Arabidopsis thaliana: one gene and its partners. The protein of the gene in region 1 interacts with the protein of each later gene in a pairwise test. Each region holds a gene or a part of one and is shown on either strand. Other genes may lie near its edges. The genes, in order: AT3G56200, SUT2 and AT4G13530.

Region 1 (6,333 bases):
CTCTCTTCTCATACGATCCACAAGATTCGTGATCGAAGAGGTGTCAGAAAATCCACCGGAAGAGCTACTCTTACCGGCTTTGCTGAGGTCAACGATGTGGCGCTGTTTTTCGGTGGATTGGTTAGAATGTTGATGCTCATAGGATCCTGCTTGTGGGTTCGTCTGCTGGTAAGGTTCTTATATGTGATTGAAGTTTTGATTTTTTTGCTCCTTTTGATGCTTAATTGTTTATCTGGGTTTAGGTTGAATTTGATTGCAAGTTAAAGTCTGGTGCTTTTGATCTGGTAATTGCTTCTTACAAGTTGATCTGTAACAATTGATTTCGAATTCAGTATATGGATTTGTATACAGATTCTGGGCTTTGCTTTATGTTCAAATTTGTGTTTGATCTTTTGGTTTTTAAGATAAAAATGTGACTCTTTTGGTGCTTATTCACTTGTATGTCATGTTATGGTCTATGTTCTCTAAGTGGTTTTAGCTTAGATAACTTGTATGTCTGTTTTCTTTACTTTAAGTTCAATATGACTTGTATCACTTCGGCTTTAATGATATTGTTGTTTATTCTTGTGTTAACGGACTAAACGAGTGTTCAGCTTAATGTGTTCAGTTTTAATAAAACTTGTCTTAATGTGATATGTTGTCTTAATCTTTAGTTTAAGTATTCTATGTTTTCTTATTTGTGAATGTTTAGTCTTCAGTGTTAGTGTGTTGTGTTTCAATATGACTTGTGTTCGTAAGAAGTTCCATATGACTTGTCTTCAGTTTTAGTTCCAATGTGACTTGTGTTCAGTTTAAGTTCCATATGACTTGTCTTCAGTTTTAGTTCGAATAAAGCTTGTGTTTAGTTTAAGTAGCAAACAAGCTTGTGTTCAGTTTAAGTTCCATATGGTTGTCTTAATGTTAATGTTCTTGTATGTCTCTTCTTAATGTTGGTTTCTTGTTTTGTTACAGACTTAAATAATGCTTCCACCTTCTCTAAATCACTCCAGTGCCGACATTACTTGTATAAAAGAGACCACATGTTTTAAGTCACCACAAGTTTGTACTTTGGTTTGAATGCTTGTACACCACAAAATAATATTCGGAAAACACTAGTTCTTATTGTGTATTCTATGACATCACTTGTATGCTAAACAATAATTTTGTTTTCATTGTTCTAAATTTTGAAGTCTCTGTATATGCATACAAAAACACTCTTCTTTTATCCACTGTTATTGTTTTAAGTATCCACTCTTCTTGTTCTCTACAACAAACCCAATAAACATTCTTCTTTCACCAAATAAACACTCTTCTTTAACCTAATACACACTCTTCCTTTTACCCAATTAACACTCTTTTTCACAAACTAAGAAAAATTTCTCACTTAAGGATTCCACTTAAGGATTCCACCATTGGACACTAAAAATTATAAAGATTCAACCAAAAACTCTAAACTCTCATTTACTTAAAATTTACTATTAAAAAATTGTAAGGAGTCCTTAATTAGGACTCCCCAATGGGGATGCTCTAAGTCTTGGTATCTTCATAATCTTAAGCTTTCGAAGGTTTGTATCATCTTTATGTTCCTCTTTTTTTCCAACTTAGAACCCTTCAATTTTTGTTCCAAAAGAAAGGAATAGTCTGATACAGATGTACTTTGTTCATTCAAATAATGGTCTACAAAAAGTAATTTAAAGAATACAAGTTTTGAAGAGTTGTTCATTTCCTCTTTCTCTGTTTCAAGCAGCAACAAAAATTGCACTTTGTATAGCTATTACATTGCATTTTCTGACAAACCTATTTCACAAAGATATAAATATGAATGCTACGGCAAGCTAATAATTTTACAGATTTCTTTGAAGTGATCATGGAAGGGACTGTTTGCAAAACTTTTTTCAACGACTAGTTTGCTGCGAGGCTGTATAAATTTGTCGAGATAGCAATAATGCTAGTGGCAACAGCAAGAACAAGCATTATTGCAGCTACGATCTTCTCTCTTGAGGTTGATACACCATGGATATTCCTGCCATTTCAGAATCAGAAAGCAGTTGGTAAGATTTTTATAGGAAGTTTGAAGCAACTGATAAAGTACATAGTAAAGGAAACAAAGCATATCTACCTTAGAACAATGGCGGCTGGAAATATGAATGCTATGGAGACTGTGATGGTTGATCCCATGAACTGAAAGAAGTACCAAATGTCTGGTACAGCGATTGCAGACAAGAAACAGCAAATCAGTAGAGCCAGAGTGAGTCCGATGAATCTTTTTGTGTCTTTTTCCAAGGACGGCTTCTTGGGGTACAAGAGTTCGTCGAGATTTGCTCTCAATGAGAAGTTCAGGAGAGGAAAGACCAGCATGAGGTGAAGCACGTAGCTGAGTCTGACAATGTCGTTGAGAAGAGAACCAATGGAAGAACCAGAGCTCTGGTCAAAGTTCACTAGAATATCCGACATAGTTGCATCTCCAAAGAGAAGGTAACCAAAGAGTCCAGTTGCGAAGTAGATAGCAGCACACAAGATGACAGAGATCTTAGTTGCTGGGATCACTTGTAATGGATCTTTGAGCTCGAATCCAATTGGATGAACTGCACATTTTGAATCACAACACCAAACTCAGAAACATGAAAAAACAGAGAAAACAGAGAAACAGTTACCAATATGGTGAAAGAGATGGGTTCTTACCATTGAAGTGAAACGTGAAGGCTGTAACTATAACAGGGGAAGCTGTGAAGAGTTGCCAGAACGATCCTCCATTGCTCAACTCCGGAAACAGTCTTGGATTCTTCGTTTGTCCATTCACCAGCGCGGAAATCGCCAGCACCGAGCTTATGACAACAAATAGAACCGCAAGAAGAAACGATACAGCGGAACTAATTGCCAGTCTTTCTACATAACCATTAACAAAAAGAAAATCATCAACAATCTCATAGATATCCATAATTTTGAGAACACAAGATTATAGAGAGAAACTTACCGACTCGTCTACGCAGGACCAATGGAAGCAAGACAAAGCCGTAGACAAATAACAAAGCGAAGATTCTCGTGTTCCACCAGTAAGAACCAAACCATTCTTGCAAAACTCCAATATGTTCAGGACCACCATTTTCATTACCAGAAAGCACATCTCCTGAGAGAGTAAACACATACAAATCCAAACTCAGCCAATCTGTTCTTAAGCTCAAATAGTAGCTGAGACCTCTACACTTAGATGATTAGATCAAATTACTTTACCTATAATAATCGAAAATATAATCATACAACCAAAAGTAGCAACCATCGTAGCAATCTGTACAGCGATGGATCCTGTTTTACCAAACGACTCTTTCATAACTCCGGCGTAAGTAGTTGATTCTCCGGCGAGAGTTGATTTCATCAGAAATCCAACGGAAATTGTGGAAAGCCAAGCTATGATCGTGATAATCAAAAACGCTGGAACTATTCCAAGAACTTTAAACGCCGCCGGCATCGACATTATTCCGGCTCCGATTATACTCGTTGACACGTTGAAAACGATGCCGGAGGTTGATGATCCATGGTTCTCAGACGAAGAAGGTTCTTGCTTCGGCAAGAGATGAGTTTTGATCTGTGGTGTCATTTTTCTAACCGCCGGAGAAACGTAAGAATTTGCCGGCGGGAAGAAGCTTTCCTTTTTTGTAGTTGTTATGAGGAATCGGCTTCATATAGCCACACGGTTAATAGCGAAAAGTACATAAATACCCTTTGAAGATTGGGGATATATGCCTTGACCGTTTGGGGCAAAATCGAGAAAATGATATTTGACCATAGGTAAACCTGACAGGCTGGGCAAATCATGTCAGTGAGATCACCAAATGATCTTTCGTCACGTACTTAAAAACATCACGAAAATAATAATTTTGTTCAAGAGAGGAAATTACAGCTAAAATATGATGAACAATCATAATCATATTATAGACAGAAGTGAATTATTAACAAAAAAACCCCAAAGAATTATACAAAAAAATCCAAAATAAAATGGGTCCGTCCAACACTAATGAATGTGTGCACTTGGATTTCTTCACGAAGAATGTATCTAGACGAAAAAGTGGCCAAATGTGTATCATCGCTTCTCATCTCATATAAGTTGTCCAAAAAAGAAAAAAACTCCTAAATAATTTAAAATTTTCGTGGATATAATAAAATCCAATATATAATCATATCATTGGCGGCCTCAAAGATGGCTCACGTGTAATAAACTAACTTTAGAGCAGACGGTTCGAGACTTTTCATCAAGAAAACGAGAGGGCAGCGAATGCGGAATGTCGAATGAATAATTGAAAACGTGATAAACGAAACAATATAAGAATAATTAAACACTGTCTTCTAAAGTTATTTTTATTTAATCATTTCATATGAATCATATTGAAGTTACTCAGTTAACATTATAGAATGTGACTGATAGCAACATTAATATTGCCGCAGAAATCCCTCGTTGCAAAGTTACAGTTTATTTTAGATCATCTCTGTGTGTAAAGGAGAAGCTTCAGTCAACAACAACAGAGCTTGGGTCAAACTCTCTGCTCAGCTCAGAGTCTCCCAAACAGAATGCTATGGGCCAAGACACTAAGCCCAATACCATTCAACATGTCGAGAAGCCCAACAACAGAAGATTACCTCTGCAACTCACAAAAGACAAAAAAATTACCGATTACCCATGAAATGATTTGCTAAAAAATTGAACATTTCATAGATTTGTAACGGTTGTTATTTAGCCATTGTTGTTATTCATGTGTTTGATATTAAAACCGATATTGTTGTTACTCATGTGTTTGATATTAAAACATACTAGGTTTTTACCAGTTTGTGCATTTTGGAACATAGGTTTGTTTAGTGGAAACTGTCAGCAATATTTGTCGTGATTTGAGAACTATAATAATGGCTAATGAAGAATGTAGAAGGACGAGCAGATATAACAGGAAATCGTTTTACTTGATAATTCATGTAAGCTTTTCTTCAATCCCAACTGATAAACCTGATCCCATATTTTCTAAGCTTGGTTAAAGCGACCCAATAACAAAGTACGGAAAAACTTTTGATTGGGCTAACTTGGGCTTTTCAAAACAAAGCCCATATTTTAAATAGACAAATTTGGCCCACTTTAGTCGGTTGAAAAATCTTTTCCCCTATCGAAGCGTGTCTCTGATTTTTCGCTCTCGATCGATTCTCGTCTCTCTCTCTTTCATCGCAGCGAATAATCCAAATCGAAAGCAATTTCTCTCGACGAAGAAAAGAGAAGCAATCGGAGTCTGTGGAGGTAAAGAAGTACACGATCAAATTTCAAGTCAGAGTTTCGGGGAAAAAAAAGGAATGGGGGATCATCTGGTGAGAGCTGAGGAATTCGAGAAGAAAGCTGAGAAAAAGCTCAATGGATGGGGAATATTCGGATCTAAGTACGAGGATGCTGCTGATCTGCTCGAAAAAGCAGCTAATTCCTATAAGCTCGCCAAATCATGTAATTTCCATAAATAAAATTTCTTTGCTTTTGATTATTGTTTCATCGGATTGGTGTCGTGTTTTTTTTTATTGTTGTTCTTTGTGATGATGAGGAAGAAAAAAAAGGTGAAATTTGAAACGTTTGATCTTAGGTTTATCAGTTGCGGTGATTTGTCTATGGTCATGTGAGAAGTAGAATTAGTATCTGGGTTTATATTAGGTCTATTTTGATCTGTAAGAAATTTATGGTTGATAATTTCATACGAAAACATTTTAAATCGGAGATTCATCATTCTGATTCCTTGATATTGGTTTCTGGCCTTCTAGCAAGTCATTGATAAGTGGCACAATTATAGTACCTAATTTGGGTTCTATTTGGCTGAGTTTAATAGGTTTCATGTTCTTTTCTGATATTTGTTTAATTCTCCAACGCTATCTTCTTACTTATGTGTTGCATTTGTGATTGTTCAGGGGATCAAGCTGGAAAAGCTTATCTAAAACTTGCCGACTGTCACTTAAAGGTTAATTCTTTGGCAACACATATATATGATACTGGACTAATGTGTGGATTGTTTGATAACATTGATTTGCATGATTGCATCTGCAGTCAGATAGCAAACATGATGCTGCTAACGCCTATGCTGAGGCTGCTAAATGCTACAAGAAAGTTGACACTAATGGTATGTATAAAGCTACTTTTGTAATTGTCATCTCTGTAATGCAAGAGTGATTATGAATTCTTATGTGTTTTCATGCGTCCTAATATTATATGCAGAGGCTGCGTCTTGCCTAGAGCGAGCGGTGAATATATTTTGTGAGATAGGAAGGCTCAACATGGCTGCAAGATATTACAAGGTACCACTTGTCTCTTTTGAGCATGAATTAGATATTATTCTTTTAGTA
Region 2 (8,325 bases), on another chromosome or scaffold:
AGTATACCAAAATAAATTAAAAATTAGGTTAGTGGTACTATTTATGATATTTTAAAATATTTTTTGTTAAATTTAAACGCACATGAATTTTTGCTATACACATAAATCAGCGTTTGTGAATAATCGAAACTAGAAAAAAAATTTTGGAGAAGGAAGATGTATACATACATATCTATAATATAGTAAAATATATCACAGGCTCAATCATGTAAAAGATATACACTATTTAAACTGTGTATGCAAAACATTTATCAATCATATTTGTAACCTTTAAACTATAGGAAGTTTTTTATTTGTCGTGTGCTTTATACAAAAGCACATCTTGCCCATACTTAGAAGCAGCCATGATATGGATACATCCCTAGTGGATATGAAGATTAGAAAGCTTAACTGCTTGTGGTTTAAGTGTAACAAGATAGTATAATAATTACTGAAGCTTGATTAAAAGGATGTGAAGTATATACCAAGAACGTCGCCGGCTCTAAAGTGTTTGCCTTTAGGCCAACCCACAGCGTTAAAGGTCCAGATACCAGAGTCACCGACCGTGTACGTTGCAGCTTGAACGTAGTCAGCTTGAAGCAACAACACTGACACAGCCATGAGAGTCACTATGGCTCGAGCCGACCATGATGCACTGCCTCTTCCCTTGGCCATTGATCGATCTTAGGTGAAAGTTTAGAGAAAGAGAGAGAAACTATAGAGAGTAAATGAGGATGAATTGAAGAGTAAATGTACAAAGGGTTTTTAAAGAAGAAGAAAATAAGACATTCAATGTTTTTATTTTATTAAATTGGGTGTCTCAACAACCCATGATATATGTTCATTTATTATTTTTGGCCACATTGTCTATGTAGAAATTGATTATAGACTTAACTTCGGTTTCTTTTGTCTCATTATTGAAGATAAGAGTTTGGTTTTGACATTGTTACACTAAGTTGAATTTTGTTTCTTTGTTTTGAAAATGCTTATATCAACTAAATAAGGAACTTGTGGACAAAGACTATGTCATCAACAACCCACGATATATGAGCATTTATTATTTATGGACACATTGTTTCTATTGGAGATATAGTTTGGTTATGATTTTAGTACATAGTTTATAGGCGAAAATAGGTTTGAATTTGTGTTCTTATTGAAATGCTTTGTTATATTAGTATGGTAATGTTGGGAAAACGTACACATCATAGGTTAAAGAACCAACAGTATTGTGTTATTAGATTGGACTATTGAGTTTGGAATATGTTGCTTCAAGTTTCTATTTGTGAGGAAAGGAACACACAAATATAAAGTGATTCAAAATAACGAAGATATATTCTACGTGAGAAGAGAGGTACTGTAAATTTAGAGTCACATTGCTGTGTATAACATATAAGAAAACTAGATGTACAAAACCTACTTACATATACGCCGAGAGGAGAACGTGGTCAAAAAGAATCGGGTAGATCTAACTGTGAATTTTATGTCTGTGGTATAAAGATTTTAGCCGATGTGGAAACCGGTGGACTTGAAAGAACTCGATAGCGTGGGAAGCCTTTGCAATGCAATAACTCCAGCAGCGAAAGCAGCAACAGACGCCAAAACAAACGCCGGTAAGTTTCCTCCTCCAAACAATTGATCCCATGGACCCGCTCCAAGTGATACTATCATCTGTTTAGAGCCAAAACCATATTCAGACACTATTTACGGGTCAAGACTACACTCGAAGTGAGTGGCATTATACAAGAGAATGAAATTTATCAGTGTAATTAGATTTGAGAGATTGCCTGGGGAATAACGATTGCGAGATTCAACACTCCTATAGCCAAACCTGGAGTGAGGAAATGAAACCATTAGGGATTACTGAAATCTAAGATTTAAGTACAAAAACTATGAATATAGTGAAGATATGAATCTTTTCACAGACCTTGACCGCCACCGGAATCAGCAGTGACTTCTGCTGTGACAGAGAAAGGGACACTGTATGTGATCTGCATTAAAGAATGGTTTTATCACATATTTTAGAGAAATGTTGCAACACGAAAAGAATAAAGAGAATTACGGTTGAAAGAAAGCACATACAGCTAGGGGAAAACCAAGGAGTGCAAAAACGATTACGGCTGCGGTTCTTGTTGTTTCGTTTCCACGCATTATGTATTCAATTCCATTTTTGTCATCACTGAGAGACATCAAGCTGATTACAGCTGTTCCCGCCATGCAGGCAAATACAGTAAAATTGCTCAAAGCCCATACAACCCGAGCACCCATCCGCTGACACATTGGTTCAATGAGAAATGAGCTGATCCCAAGAACAACCTACGGAAACAGGGAAGAAGAATATTCAATAACGGGCGAGTAATTGAATTTTGAAGAGCAGTGCAGTTAAAAAACAGGTTATTATAACGATTCTTACAGAGTTTAGTAGCAAACCAAGTGCACCTTCACGTACACCTTGATCATAGAGTTCCATATGCAAACTATCTCCTGTTGGATCCCCATGGTAAACTTCTCTTCCCATCCAATCTGTATCGAACAGAAAGAAGGGGAACCAGGATAACTGCAAAGAACAAGACCACAATCAAAAATATAACAGAAGCAAATAATTTTAAAGATCATTAAAGAGTTTAAGAAAAGAAACAGTGTGAAATATGTAATAACTGATCATAATTTTTCTTTGGCACTCACCCATGTAAGAGCCATGACGATAAGAACTGAGTGCATAGCCGGTGGCAAATGCCTTAAACTAGTTAGCAAATTCACTAAAACAGATCCAGGGCCATCAACGTAGGTCTCATCTTGATGCTCATTCTCTGAATTGCCAAACTGTTCATCCGTATCACGTTCCACTCTCTCATACTTGATTCCATTGGCAGTACCATTATTTAATTTTGAATGCTCAAGGCCTTTGGACTGGAGATCATCCAACAAAGGTGCAGAATCTTGTATGCGGGTGGGCTTGTTGCTTGTAAAAGGAATCTCTTTAGCAAAATAGATTGTGACAAGAGTACATATAGTGAGAAAGACCTGAAAAAATGATTTAAACTCTTAAAACATATAGAACAATATATTCAGATTTTAGACTATGAAACAAGAACAAAAGCCACTGGGTGCAATAATATAATTTCACTTTCAAAATCACCTCAAAAATAATATAGACATACAAACAGAACGCATTGATTTGCGACATATATGAATCACAAGTCACAATGTACAAACGTGAGAGTGTTTCGTAAAGACCAGCCCATTCCATTGCAATTTAGAAAGCTTAGTAAGATGCATGTGTCAGAAAATTAAACATACTGCTTACCACTGCAAGAAGAAACGCTGCTTTGAGATTTCCACATGCAGCACAACATGCTCTACTAGTTAAAAAAGGGAACCATCTGCGCAGTAAAATTGCCTGATCATTTAACAGCTGGCGGAAAATGCAAAATTGCAAATGAGGAAAAAGAATACAAGATTTTGAGAATAAGGATCTCAAAGATTACTCTTGCCATTTTCCGCTAGCACCGGCAGAAAACCCAAGGATGTTCCCAATAGCCATCCACAAGCAGAACACAGCATTTGCAGTATTCCGCTGATCAGGACCTAGGGACAGCAAGAGACATCTCATTAGAAGCACAGCATATTCAATCTGATTCTAGAGTTTGAATAGAAATTCTGTTCTGTTAAGTGTATGGTTATATTCCATTATTACCTGATAGATCAGCTAGAAGAGCACGAGCAGGTCCCTGAAAATAAAAAAGCCGAAAACATCATTCCTGGATACAGAGGTAATGACTAGTACCATTCACTCAAGTACATTGCAGAGGCAGATCTGAACCTGTACTGTATTGTTTGCTAGATCCAACAACCAAAACCCAATGATAAAGACAACAGCTGCCCTGGTTCGTGTGCCTTTGAAAGTACTGCATTTCAAGATACACATCAAGTCGTCAGTTACTTTAATTTTGATACATTCCATAAAAAACATGCCATTGGCAGGGGAGCAGGAGAGTTACCTGCAATGTTCCTTTGAATCTCCTAACAGATACCCAATGTCTGCAGAAAATCCGATTATTATCACCTAAATTGCAAGCTTTTGTTTAGCTTATATAAAACACAATGTAGCCAGCTATCTCCTAAAAGAAAATCAAAACAGAAATCATATCTTCTATTGGCACTTACTGCTATTGAGATCATGAATGATCCAACTAGAATAAATGGTCGTCTTCTTCCATACTTTGAAGTACATTTATCACTCCAAATGCCAACAAAAGGCTGGACCTAAAACCCAACAAACAAATAAGTATGAACAAAATGGGGCAGAAAAATAGTTTCTGATCCAATATAAATCAAAACTTGAACTCTCGTGAGATCATTACGTGCAAGATAGTAAAACTGCTAAAATTCTTAAAGAAACTTTTAACCTACCACAAGGCCTGTAATTGGGCCGCACAGCCAAATAAACGAAGAAAAAGCATGCGATATTCCAAGGGTCTGCATCAACCAACCAAATGCAACACTGTTAGATAAAACTCAAAAGGGTTCTTCAGCAACAAGAAAATCAAAATACTTCCAGCAAACAGATATTTAACAATAGTTCTATCTACCACCATAACTACCCACCTGATACATATATGACCAGTACAATACTATTCTAAACACAGTCTAATCTCTGATTATACAATAGTTCCGAAAAAGGCTAAGGTCTTTTATATTTTTACAAATGCTTATGTAATCCAATGAACATAAACAATCTAGCTAAATTCCAATGTCATATACTCTTCGATAAGCCAATGCTATAGAGTTCCATACGAAAATATCTCATGGCTATGTTGGTGACAACAACTACCTAACCTAAGTATTAGAATTCATTGATTCACCTACAAAGTACTCGACTTTCTCGTACAAAGCTACACAAGAACAAAACCCTCGAATCTAAATTGCTATAGAGAAAGCCACAAGTGATAGAAATGGTAACAATGACAAGAGTAATAGTAAGTACCTGAATATAAGGAGTAAGAAGAGAAAGTTGCAATGCCCAACCAAATTGAACTCCAGCGGCAACTGTACAACTAAGAACCAACGTCACTAAACTACAATTCTTCGACACAGATTCACCATCAGCCGAATCAGAATGATTCGAAGGAGAAGCAGATTCAGAGAACGACGAAGAACCAGATTCGTTTTGACGATGCTTGGTGACCGTCTCAAGTTCAATTTCCTTCCTCAAATTCCTATACGGAACCGAGATCGACACCGAGTCACTCATCGTCCTCAACACACAGATCCCTAATTCGTATCAAAATCAATTTCTCATTCCGATTTAGATTTCTAGGGTTTTGATCTCGTCGATCTAGATTCGGAGACGATGATCGGAGAGTCAAATTCGGGCGGGTGAATATTTTGATGAAATCGATTTTTTTGAGGTGATTGAGAGAGAAGACGCGGAAGTGAAGAAGGAAGGAAGATTCGTTTTACAGGGAACCGTTGATTTGTAGATTAACGGATGAGATTAAAACCTAACTTAATAGTCAACGTTTTCGTCTCGGGCTTTGTGTAATCAGCACCGTTGGATTTGATCGGATCAAAACCGTTGCTTCAATTTAAAGGAAGAGCGGACGAAACTCACCGTCACCGACACCAAACAAAAAGTGTGTGCTTTTAAAAAAGTAAAACGGTGTCGTTTGATAAGAGTTGAGAGTGGGCCTGTAGTTTTTTGTAGCTCGGCCCATTTTTGTAAGAAATTCACAACTGTGGTACATTTAGCCCAAATATTAAGTCTATTAGAAGAAAGCTGTCTCATTTTTTGTTAGCATACACACCTAAAACCTATAAAACATGTGTCAAGATTATATGATTCATAGCTATGTCCCTTCTTCTATTTTCTGATGCCTTACACTGCGAACACTGTGATTAGTGATTACATTGGTTCAAGTTTGACTTCATGAAATATGTTTGGTTCAAGTTTGCTTCTAATGCTACCATTCAAATCCAAACTCTCACAATTGCATATTATTAAAGAAAAAAGGATAAGACGTCTCAAAGAAATTTTTTTATATAAAATCATATAGGGTATGTTCTTATTAACGTATATATGAACATGTGTTACTAATTTAAAAACAAAATCATTTTGTAAATTTGTGTTTTACAACAAATATTTTGTGGGAGATTTTAGGTGCTAGCAATAATAAGTAATGTTAATTAAGAGAGTTATAAACATTTTTTCACTATTTAATAGTGTTTTTTTCTTCTTACCAATGTCACTATTTACAAGTATATGTATTTTCTAATAACTAATGTAAACATGTTTGTAAAAAGATTATATAACATATATGTGTGTGATTGTGAAGGTGATAGAGTTCTTCTTACCAATGTCACTATTACAAGTATATGTATTTTCTAATAACTAATGTAAACATGTTTGTAAAAAGATGATATAACATATATGTGTGTTAACGTGATAGAGCCGGATTAAACGAATAAAAGGAAGAAAGTTAGAAATAAAAAGGAGGAAAAAGGAAAAAGACGTGTGCCTAACAAATGTATCATGTATTGGTACAAAAATGCAAAGATGATACATAATTATTAATATTATTCTTGCTTGTGGAAAATGAAAGCTAATAGGGCACACAATTGAATTAATACTTACGTCTCTCTTTCTCCATCTCTTCCCTTGTCCCTCTCTTCTCCTTTCCTTATCCACGTGTACATGACTCTTATGTCCCATCTTTTTTTTCTTTTTCTTATCATCAAAAGTTCAAAAACAAATCCTTTTGAGTTTAGTTGTTATGGTGTGCATGCATGTATGATGTATCCGAACCAAAGTATAGTCGAAAATCCAAATTTTGTATTCTTTAATGGTTAATGGTTAATTGAGAAGTTATAGCCGAGTCTCATACACTTGTTGTCCATCAAAACTGATACCATTCTCAATAGTATTTGAACCAGAAAACCACTATTACTCACTTTTGTAAAAGAACTATACATACGCGCCGTTAGACCAAATATCACTTATTACAAAACAAATTTTTTATCTATACCATGTTATAATTTTACATAAGAAAAAATAAAATAAAAAATCGGATTATTCCATTCAAAAAAGCATTTACATAAAATTCAAGCCTATATAGGCAATTTGGTAGCATTGACTCGGTTTCTCCACAAAAAAATGAACCTTATTACACCTTTGGTTTTATCTTATTTGAGATTGATGATTTGATCATGTGCCAATTTTTATTTTTATTTTGTTATAAAAAAGATCAAGGTTAATAAGTTGATTGAAAAACAGTAATAAGTTTTTTTAGTTTAATCATGTAATTACATTTGACAAAAAGCACGTGTTGAACGCGGCTATGACCCAAATAAAAGAGAAAAAAACATATGTACCATAACTTAACACGTCATCTCCTTAACGTCGAGCACGTCAAATGCTTACGCCTGAAAATAACTCCTTCGTCATTTCTCAAACGACAAATTCAAATATTAATAATATAAAAACTATATGTTTAAAAAAAAAAAAAGAGATGCGTTATTACAATAAATTTAATTTTCTAACTTAGTGATTGGTTGGCAATTTTGTCGTTCTCTGTCGATAGATCATAATTTATAATGTGATATTTACATATATACATAAGAATGGGGCTTACACTGTTTCACATAATAACTCCATTAAAGTTGATAAAGAAAAATTATAATGGTCATTAATCATTATTGAGAATGTAACCATCGATATTGAAAGATAGAAATGTGGAAAGAACGTGAAGAAATAAAAAAGAATCACGTCACGTGGAGACAGCTCTTTTACGAACTCTTATATCCACTCACTTCATTAAATCATTTAAAAAGTGGACTATTTTTTAAAAAAGCAACAATGGTTTGTGCATATATTTGTAATGGTTTTTTTTCTAAAATCTTTGTGTCATTTAATTGTCCCAACAAAACCAATACATCATCTTGCTTTTTTTTGGGTCCGATTTGTGCATATATAGAGTGTTCATATAGAACGGAGTATATGCGAAACCTTAACTCGACTAATTAAGTTCGGAAGCTACGTCCAATTATAACAAAGTTGAGTCAAAAATGCATCATCCCCTGAACATCGTCTCGTTGACCGGACATCGAGACTATGTGCTATCGCAAACAACATGTGATCAAATTCAAGAGACATATTAATAGATGACAATACGTTTTTAGGTTAATGGTAGATGAAACATTAGCTTTGTTTTTTGAAATATATGAAGAAAAAAAGAGTACTATAGTTGTTTATGGTTCTCGACATCATGCCTTTGTTTTTGTCGAACAATTGTTTCGTGAATGTCATGGGATAATACGGTTTCGTGTAAGTTATAACGAACGAGACATTAG
Region 3 (7,043 bases), on another chromosome or scaffold:
TGTCTCAGTGCCTCTCCTACAAAAGAAAAAAAAAACTCATTACCTTCCTTTCTCAAAACATCAAAGATGAGATTATTTGTGAAAGGTCTTACCATATGTTGTGTGGATGAGATCATCAAGCTCATTCTTGATAGCAAAGTAGAGCTGCTTCCACCTCTCCACAGCTTCTTCCCTCACTGCTCTCTCTAAACACATCTGTTCCACGACCCATTCCCACTCGTGTTGTTTCGCCTTTCCTTCTTCCTTCTCTTCCATCTTCTGTCTCAGCCTCTTCACTTCCTCTCTCAGTCTCTTCCTCTCTTTCCTCCACTCTGTCTCTGCCATCTTCAACGCCAAAATCACTCTCTCTTTCTCATCAAGCTCTCTTCTTGTTTCTCTCCTTCTCTGTTCATTTGCTTTCACCTTGATGCGTCTCTTACTACTGTTTCTCTCATCCTTGCTTGTAGAACCACCCATGAAGAAAAGCTCTCTTTCTCTCTCTATCTCTGTAGAACTTTTGTTCTATTTTGAATGTCTTGTTTGTTTCATTCAATGAAAAAAAAAAATGATTATTGTGAGTGAAGAAAGCTCCACTTTGCGGCATTGCAGACACATGTTATTTATATAATATGGTCCAAACCAAAAGCATCTTCACTTATCCTAAACACACAATAGGAAAATTATGGAATGTCTTATCACAAAACTAATCACACAAACACACATTGTGGCTTGAGTTGATTATTTCTTATGGAAACTGAGATAAAAAGACAAAAGAAGTTATGGGCACTCTCAGGACATAGTACTGAATAGGAAACAAGAGAAAAAGGAATTGAAGTGGTGTTACAGAATATGAAAAGCAGTGTTTTTTCTTCAATCTCCAATTAATGGTGTGGGCTTTGATTGTTTGTCACATGCATCATTAACATGGACCCATACCTATTTACTCCTATTTTTTCTTCCCAATATTTGTAGGTTTTATAGGTTTCTCTCAAACTTTTGGTCTAATTTGTCTTCTTCTCATGGAGGAAATTGTTACATAGGTCTTAAGTTATTGTCTGTGTTTTTATAGACCGAATCAAACATAGCAAACCAAAATTTGAGTATGTTACGTGAAGACAATGGGTAGATTTATCTTGAAGTTCGAATTTTGGTTTGCTTTATTTCCGTTAAACGTCAATAGTTAAACTTCATGAGTATGCTTTAGCTTTGGATCCTTAGTTCCTTACAATACTCACTTGTGATTTAAGTATGATAAGTGAGTATACCAAACTTTGGTGGTACAATGGTCAACGAATAATAGAGTGAAAGAAGACAAAGAAACAAGAAGAAGAGACATATATCTAATCACAATTGACATCGTAGAGTTTAGGATAGCTATAAAGTGAAAGATAGACTCCTACATGGCTACATCAATCAGAAACATTGCCCTCTTCACGTGAACTTCCCTGTTAATTTGGGTTTTTGTCTTAACCCTTTTCATATCTTAAAGAGTCGTACTTTCTAAATAAACAACCAAAATTCCGTTATTGGCTTTTGTCTTTGTACAATCTCTTTACGACACTGCCTACTAAGACCAGCTCAGAAGCTTATCAAGGTTAGATTCTGACCGCAACCTTCCAAAACTGCACTATGATTCTGATCCAATTTGTATTCCACCAAGCAAGTAACAATATATACACACACAGTACAAACTTACAAGCATCTTTTTGTATGTTTTTGTAACATTTTTAATACAATCATATGATACATGCACCAACCACATCAAATCATATAATCTCACATATATGCATTATTATGCCCTCAAATTCACTTAATTTTCACCTTAAACTCATCATGGACCACTGGTTCATACCCACTGATGACGGAAGTGCTGGCCGGATTATGGGCACACGTTTCACTACCGAGATTGCTTCGTTCCACCGAGCAGCATGATTCGCCACCTTCTGAAAAAAGTATTTCATTCAAAAGACAGACAATACAAGAATCAGATGGTGTAAAAATCTTCCGAATTGTGTTCTGAAATACTTAGAACTTTTGTTCTTCATTGCCATGAGTGAAAAAGATGAATACAAGTCAAGCAAGAACGTGAATTTCAGCAGCAAAAGACATATTTGATCCGCCAAGTTATATGCAACCGTAAGCAGGATTCAAACTTGGGTCCTTACTGAGGCTTTGTACCAGTGGAAGATCAGTTAAACTAAACTTTCAGGTTTTACCACTACTTTTATCCATTCCTCAAAGAAACATTTTACGATAAGATTCGTAATATATAGTAACTTCCATCTCTGGCTACCAACATGAAAAATCTACAAAGAATAACTACTGAAAACTAGTCTAAAGATCTTTCAACTATCCTTTAGCTATTAGAAAGAACATGCAAACTCAAAATGTAAAAATAAAAAATATGTTGTTTAAGCATTATAGGAGATGAAACAACAGAGAGGACGGACAAAGAAATAGATCACCCAGGTGGTATTCTAACGACTATTAACACTGCTCTCACCAACTACACATTCTATGCCAAAAGTATCTATCAAGAACTCAACCGATGCAGTGGTGCTATATCAAAAACCCTTAGCAAGATAGTGTAAATGGGTACGAGTGTATGCCTGTTGGTGAATACTATGACCTCGAGTCGCTGGTTGCATCTAAACTACTTAGCAACAAGAAACTGGTCCCAGGACAAACAAGGGGATGATCTGATCTTCTCATTTTCCCCATCAAAACAACAATTGACACTAATAAAACATCTAACTAAGCAGTAAAAGTTGAACTAAGCAGAGCTCATATCACACCAAAAGATCATACAGTAACCACATGACTCATGAATCAACATACTCAAAGAACAATAAACAATCAAATAAACCAAGCTAGTTACCTTATCATCCAAAAGAACCTTAAGCTGCAAGGAACGAGTCTTCTTCTTCATATTGTACAATCTACGCCCTAACATAACAAAACCCACAAATGCTGCAGCCATGGACAAAGACCAAATAGGATTAATTTTCAACACACAATACTTCAACACCTCTATTGGAATTTTCCACCACACAAACCCTTTCTCTTCTCCTCCTCCACCACCAGATTTAACACCAGGATCAATAGAAACAGAGTTTCCTTCTCCTTCCACTGGATGAAGTAAAGATTCTTCCTTTCTCTCATCAGAGCTTATCAAATCCATGTCTTGAGCTATACTTTCACTATATTCAACAATACCCACTTCGTTTCTCTCTATACCCATCTCGTTATTCACATCATCATCCACTAACCTCTGATCATCAAGCCGATCACTGCTTGAATCAGACCATAACTCACTAAAATGCTTCGGACCATAAGGAACATCGGAGCTAGGTTCGATCCATCCTGGACTACCCGATTGAACAGACCCATCTTCATCGTTTGCCTCCAAACGAGACAAACCACTCTGGTTCTCAAGAGAGAAATGATCAAACCTAATCATACCTTGCGTGCCATCATCAATCTCCTCCAAGCTCCTCGAATTGTCATCTTCCGTGGTAGATCTCGAGCTCTGAAGTATTTCCCAGTCTTGAATCTCTCCTTCCATGTCAAAGTTAGGGGTTTTTTCGATCCAATTGAGGAAAAGAAACAAAAGGAGTCTTTGTGTTGGGGCGAAAACAGAACCGAAACGCTTCTTTCTCTGTGTGGAGATCACAGAAACACTAGGTCGTGGTGTTAACGTGGCGTGGTGTGATTGGATAGAGGATGAAGTCAAAAGAGTGGTTTCGTTGACGTGTGGGTTTATGATAACTATATGGATTGACAGTGTATGTTGTTACGGTGGGCCGAGAAGTAGAGGACCTTCAACCGCTTTTGCTAATCAGATATGCTCAACTTGAAACTGGAGGGAGAGGAAGCAAACACGTCATATAAATGCATTTTGTGAAGAACATCATAATTTATTGATACCGAACCAAATCCAATAGAATGTATTTTTACTTTTTACTATTTTACTTTTCGTTTTTTTACTTGTTTTTTCTCGTTCAAATTAGGTGATCGATGAATTGATAATTTAATTGTAATCCGCGTAATTCATATTCCTTCGGTTCTATTTTGTTGATTTTGAAGAAAAAAAAAATTGTTTCAAAAAAATTGATTTTTTAAAATTTTTATGTAATATTTATTAGTTTTTATTAATGAATTGTAAACTTTAATAAAAATAATTAAATTTTATTGGTTTAAAGTGATAGAAAATTGTAAAACACAAAATATAATATATTTAAAATCAACTTTAATATATTTACTTTTGTGTGTTTTTTTCTAACAATCAAACAAAAAAAACAGAGAAAATATTTATTTATTTTTGCTAAGAAACATAGGAAATATTTAATATTAATCGAAACCCAACTTTTTTTTCAATAAATGTTTAGCGTTAATATCATAGTTTAACAAACATTCTTTTTTATAACTCAAAATTTTAGAGTTTAGTCATTAAACCAAGATGTGGAGATTTTATAAAGGTTGAGGTAGGGAGGAGAAGAAAGTTAAGAGGCTCATGGATGGTGGCTTGCAGAGATTTGGGAGTTTTTGAGAGAGTTGATGACGTGGCAACTTGAGAACACATTTGTTAAAAGGCTGAGGTGGGTAGTGTGAGAGGCCTCAAATAACTTTTTTTTTATTAGTAAGAGATTCTGAAAAGAGGTTACCGATATCTAATGAATTGCTATCGAATGTTGAAATCTCATGAAATTTGGCTACACTACATACATACGACTATAAGGCAAGTAACAAAGACTGCTAGGGACTGACAAAGTGACAAGTGACATCTTTATGCTTAGCCTCCTTTTCCTTTCTACCATAGTTGAACATCAAGCACATTATTTCCATCTCAAAACCGGCCCAGAGAATATAATATGACACGATGCAACAACAGAACTTGGCCAGGGGAATTATACACCCCCTCCTACATACCACAAGACAGGAATTATACACCCCCTCCCACATACCACAATACAACACACATTCAGAGACCACGAGATGGTGAATTTACAAGAAATCAACATGGAACAAGATACCATATCCATATAAATCATTGACTGATGTATCTGAGTTACATGGAAGATACAAGAGACTATTTCTCTTAGGCCATTAAATTGTTGGTAGGAATATGTGCTTCAGTATGAGTTCCCTAGTTCACTTAATCACTAGTGGAAAGTTACAGCTTACATGAGGATTTCATCTCTCACCGGGAAGTTTCTCTAGACCCGGTGAGTCACATGAATATCAACACAATGAAACACATCAACACATATTTCAGAGACCTCAGATGTTGAAATTACAAGCAATCACAATGGAATATGGTACCAAATGAATCAATTAGTTTCTATCTTAAGCCAATATCAATAACTTTCACATTCTTCACATACAAATTCACAACATTCTTCACATACAAAGACTCTAATTTTCAGTTACTAAAATACCAAAACACTAAAGAAAATTAGGTTTCAATCTCCAAAAAACATCATCATCTCCAGAACCAAGGAAAAAAAAAACATTCTAAATTTGAGCCAAAAAAAACAATCAGACAAAGCACAATAACACACAAATCAAATGTTTTAGTAATCCAAATGAAGAAAAACATTGTTACATACCACAAACATAAAAATCCCAGAACTTATTACACACTTACTACATAGGTTTCTCCACAAATTACATCAAGTTTAGGAAAAAAAACTGAAATCTTAAAGAGGAAACTTAACCGGATTTAGTTGATATCGGTGTCATCGAAATCATCATCGAATTTGTTGAAGAAATCGGCGTCGGCGAGCTTGTTATCTGAGACAAGTCCTCCTTCGTTGAGTATCTCCATGGCTTCGAGGTCATCAACGTCCATGGCCATCGAAGAACCTGCATCATCCATCTCCGATAACATATCCAGCTGCATCGGCCTCATTTCTCTCTTCGTCTCTTCTTCGTTTTCTTCTTCGGGAAAGATCTAAAATGTTACAGTGACTGACTGTCGAAGTTTTGATGTTGAGGTCATTTTCTTTTAGGCCTAAATGTTGTGGCCCATCTTTATCTTCTTAGGCCCAATTGATGTGGCCCATGTTAATTTTAATCGTTCATTTTTCGTAGTGATTTTTAGCTGAATCTGTGGATTTTTTTTTTTTTTTTTAAGATACATCAGTTGAGGAATTGGCTGAAAAGTGGAACTAGAGGAATTTTTAGAATTTTTTTTTATTAATACCATGTTTATATCCTCTATTAAACAAATTTGATTAATGCAATTTTAAAAGCTACAAAAAAAAACTCAAATTATTTATATATAATTCTGTTGTCTGTAAAATTATAAAATAATATCAAGATAGAATAGTTTTCTAGTTGACGAAAAAAAATTAGGTTTCTAGTTAATAAAAATTAGAAAAAACTATCAAAGTTAAAATGTAAAATCAAAGTAATAGTTTTTTACTATTAAATTTTCATTAGTTAGGTCAAAATCAAATTTAGGATTGGGTGATTTAATCCCAGTTAATTCTGACTACAAAATGGTTAATTAATATATATAATTCAGTAGTTGATATGTTTCTGCATACATTGAAATAAATTAAACTATCACAATCGAAAGTCGTAAAATACGATTGATGGATGCGATTATTCTCTCTCGTTAATCACGAAGATAAATCTATTTGTTTCACTTTTACGGAAAGGGCAACGAGTTAATTTGTACATGGTTGTGTTAGTCATATTTAATATGGGCTGGTTTTACTCTTTTTGTTTGCCAATGAGCTAGTTTTCCATTTGTTACAAATTTTTTTTTTTTTTTTCTGCTAAGAATGTAAATATTTCATTGAAAAATGAAAAAGGTTTAGGAGATACAATTAAGTAAATCCTACAATTTTGGTCTCATGGCAAAAAAAGGATAAAAAACATGGAAGCAAAGAACAATCAGTCCATCGACATCAACAAAAGAAATTACTCTTTTGGAATCAATGAAGTGATAAACCGATTCTAAATATTAACTTAAAAGACACCTTAAGGAACAAGAAACGAGCTACCAAACGGCAAAGACCGAATCAACAAAAAACCTAGCGATGGAAGCCTTTCAA

Evidence for each region.
Region 2: the proteins of AT3G56200 (region 1) and SUT2 interact in a protein complementation assay, tested with the Arabidopsis thaliana proteins (one large-scale study listed by BioGRID).
Region 3: the proteins of AT3G56200 (region 1) and AT4G13530 interact in a protein complementation assay, tested with the Arabidopsis thaliana proteins (one large-scale study listed by BioGRID).

What each region holds. Positions count from the first base shown.
Region 1 is NC_003074.8:20,847,328-20,853,660, reverse strand, and holds AT3G56200 (Transmembrane amino acid transporter family protein), read right to left. Parts: upstream 3,900-6,333; 5' UTR 3,575-3,899; coding exon 3,211-3,574; intron 3,107-3,210; coding exon 2,954-3,106; intron 2,866-2,953; coding exon 2,662-2,865; intron 2,565-2,661; coding exon 2,099-2,564; intron 2,003-2,098; coding exon 1,882-2,002; 3' UTR 1,557-1,881; downstream 1-1,556. Other genes in the region: ALPHA-SNAP2 (alpha-soluble NSF attachment protein 2), read left to right, coding at 5,305-5,449, 5,902-5,951, 6,038-6,110, 6,206-6,285.
Region 2 is NC_003071.7:827,067-835,391, forward strand, and holds SUT2 (sucrose transporter 2), read right to left. Parts: upstream 5,554-8,325; 5' UTR 5,231-5,553; coding exon 4,964-5,230; intron 4,456-4,963; coding exon 4,390-4,455; intron 4,243-4,389; coding exon 4,144-4,242; intron 4,043-4,143; coding exon 3,978-4,042; intron 3,885-3,977; coding exon 3,800-3,884; intron 3,708-3,799; coding exon 3,674-3,707; intron 3,565-3,673; coding exon 3,465-3,564; intron 3,360-3,464; coding exon 3,284-3,359; intron 3,001-3,283; coding exon 2,662-3,000; intron 2,534-2,661; coding exon 2,390-2,533; intron 2,293-2,389; coding exon 2,059-2,292; intron 1,968-2,058; coding exon 1,904-1,967; intron 1,808-1,903; coding exon 1,764-1,807; intron 1,648-1,763; coding exon 1,480-1,647; 3' UTR 1,213-1,479; downstream 1-1,212. Other genes in the region: ARPN (plantacyanin), read right to left, coding at 465-654. UniProt on the Arabidopsis thaliana protein: Responsible for the transport of sucrose into the cell, with the concomitant uptake of protons (symport system). Can also transport maltose at a lesser rate. May also transport biotin.
Region 3 is NC_003075.7:7,863,309-7,870,351, reverse strand, and holds AT4G13530 (uncharacterized protein), read right to left. Parts: upstream 4,025-7,043; 5' UTR 3,545-4,024; coding exon 2,858-3,544; intron 1,923-2,857; coding exon 1,797-1,922; 3' UTR 1,176-1,796; downstream 1-1,175. Other genes in the region: AT4G13540 (golgin family A protein), read right to left, coding at 1-16, 93-456; SMAP1 (small acidic protein 1), read right to left, coding at 5,702-5,890.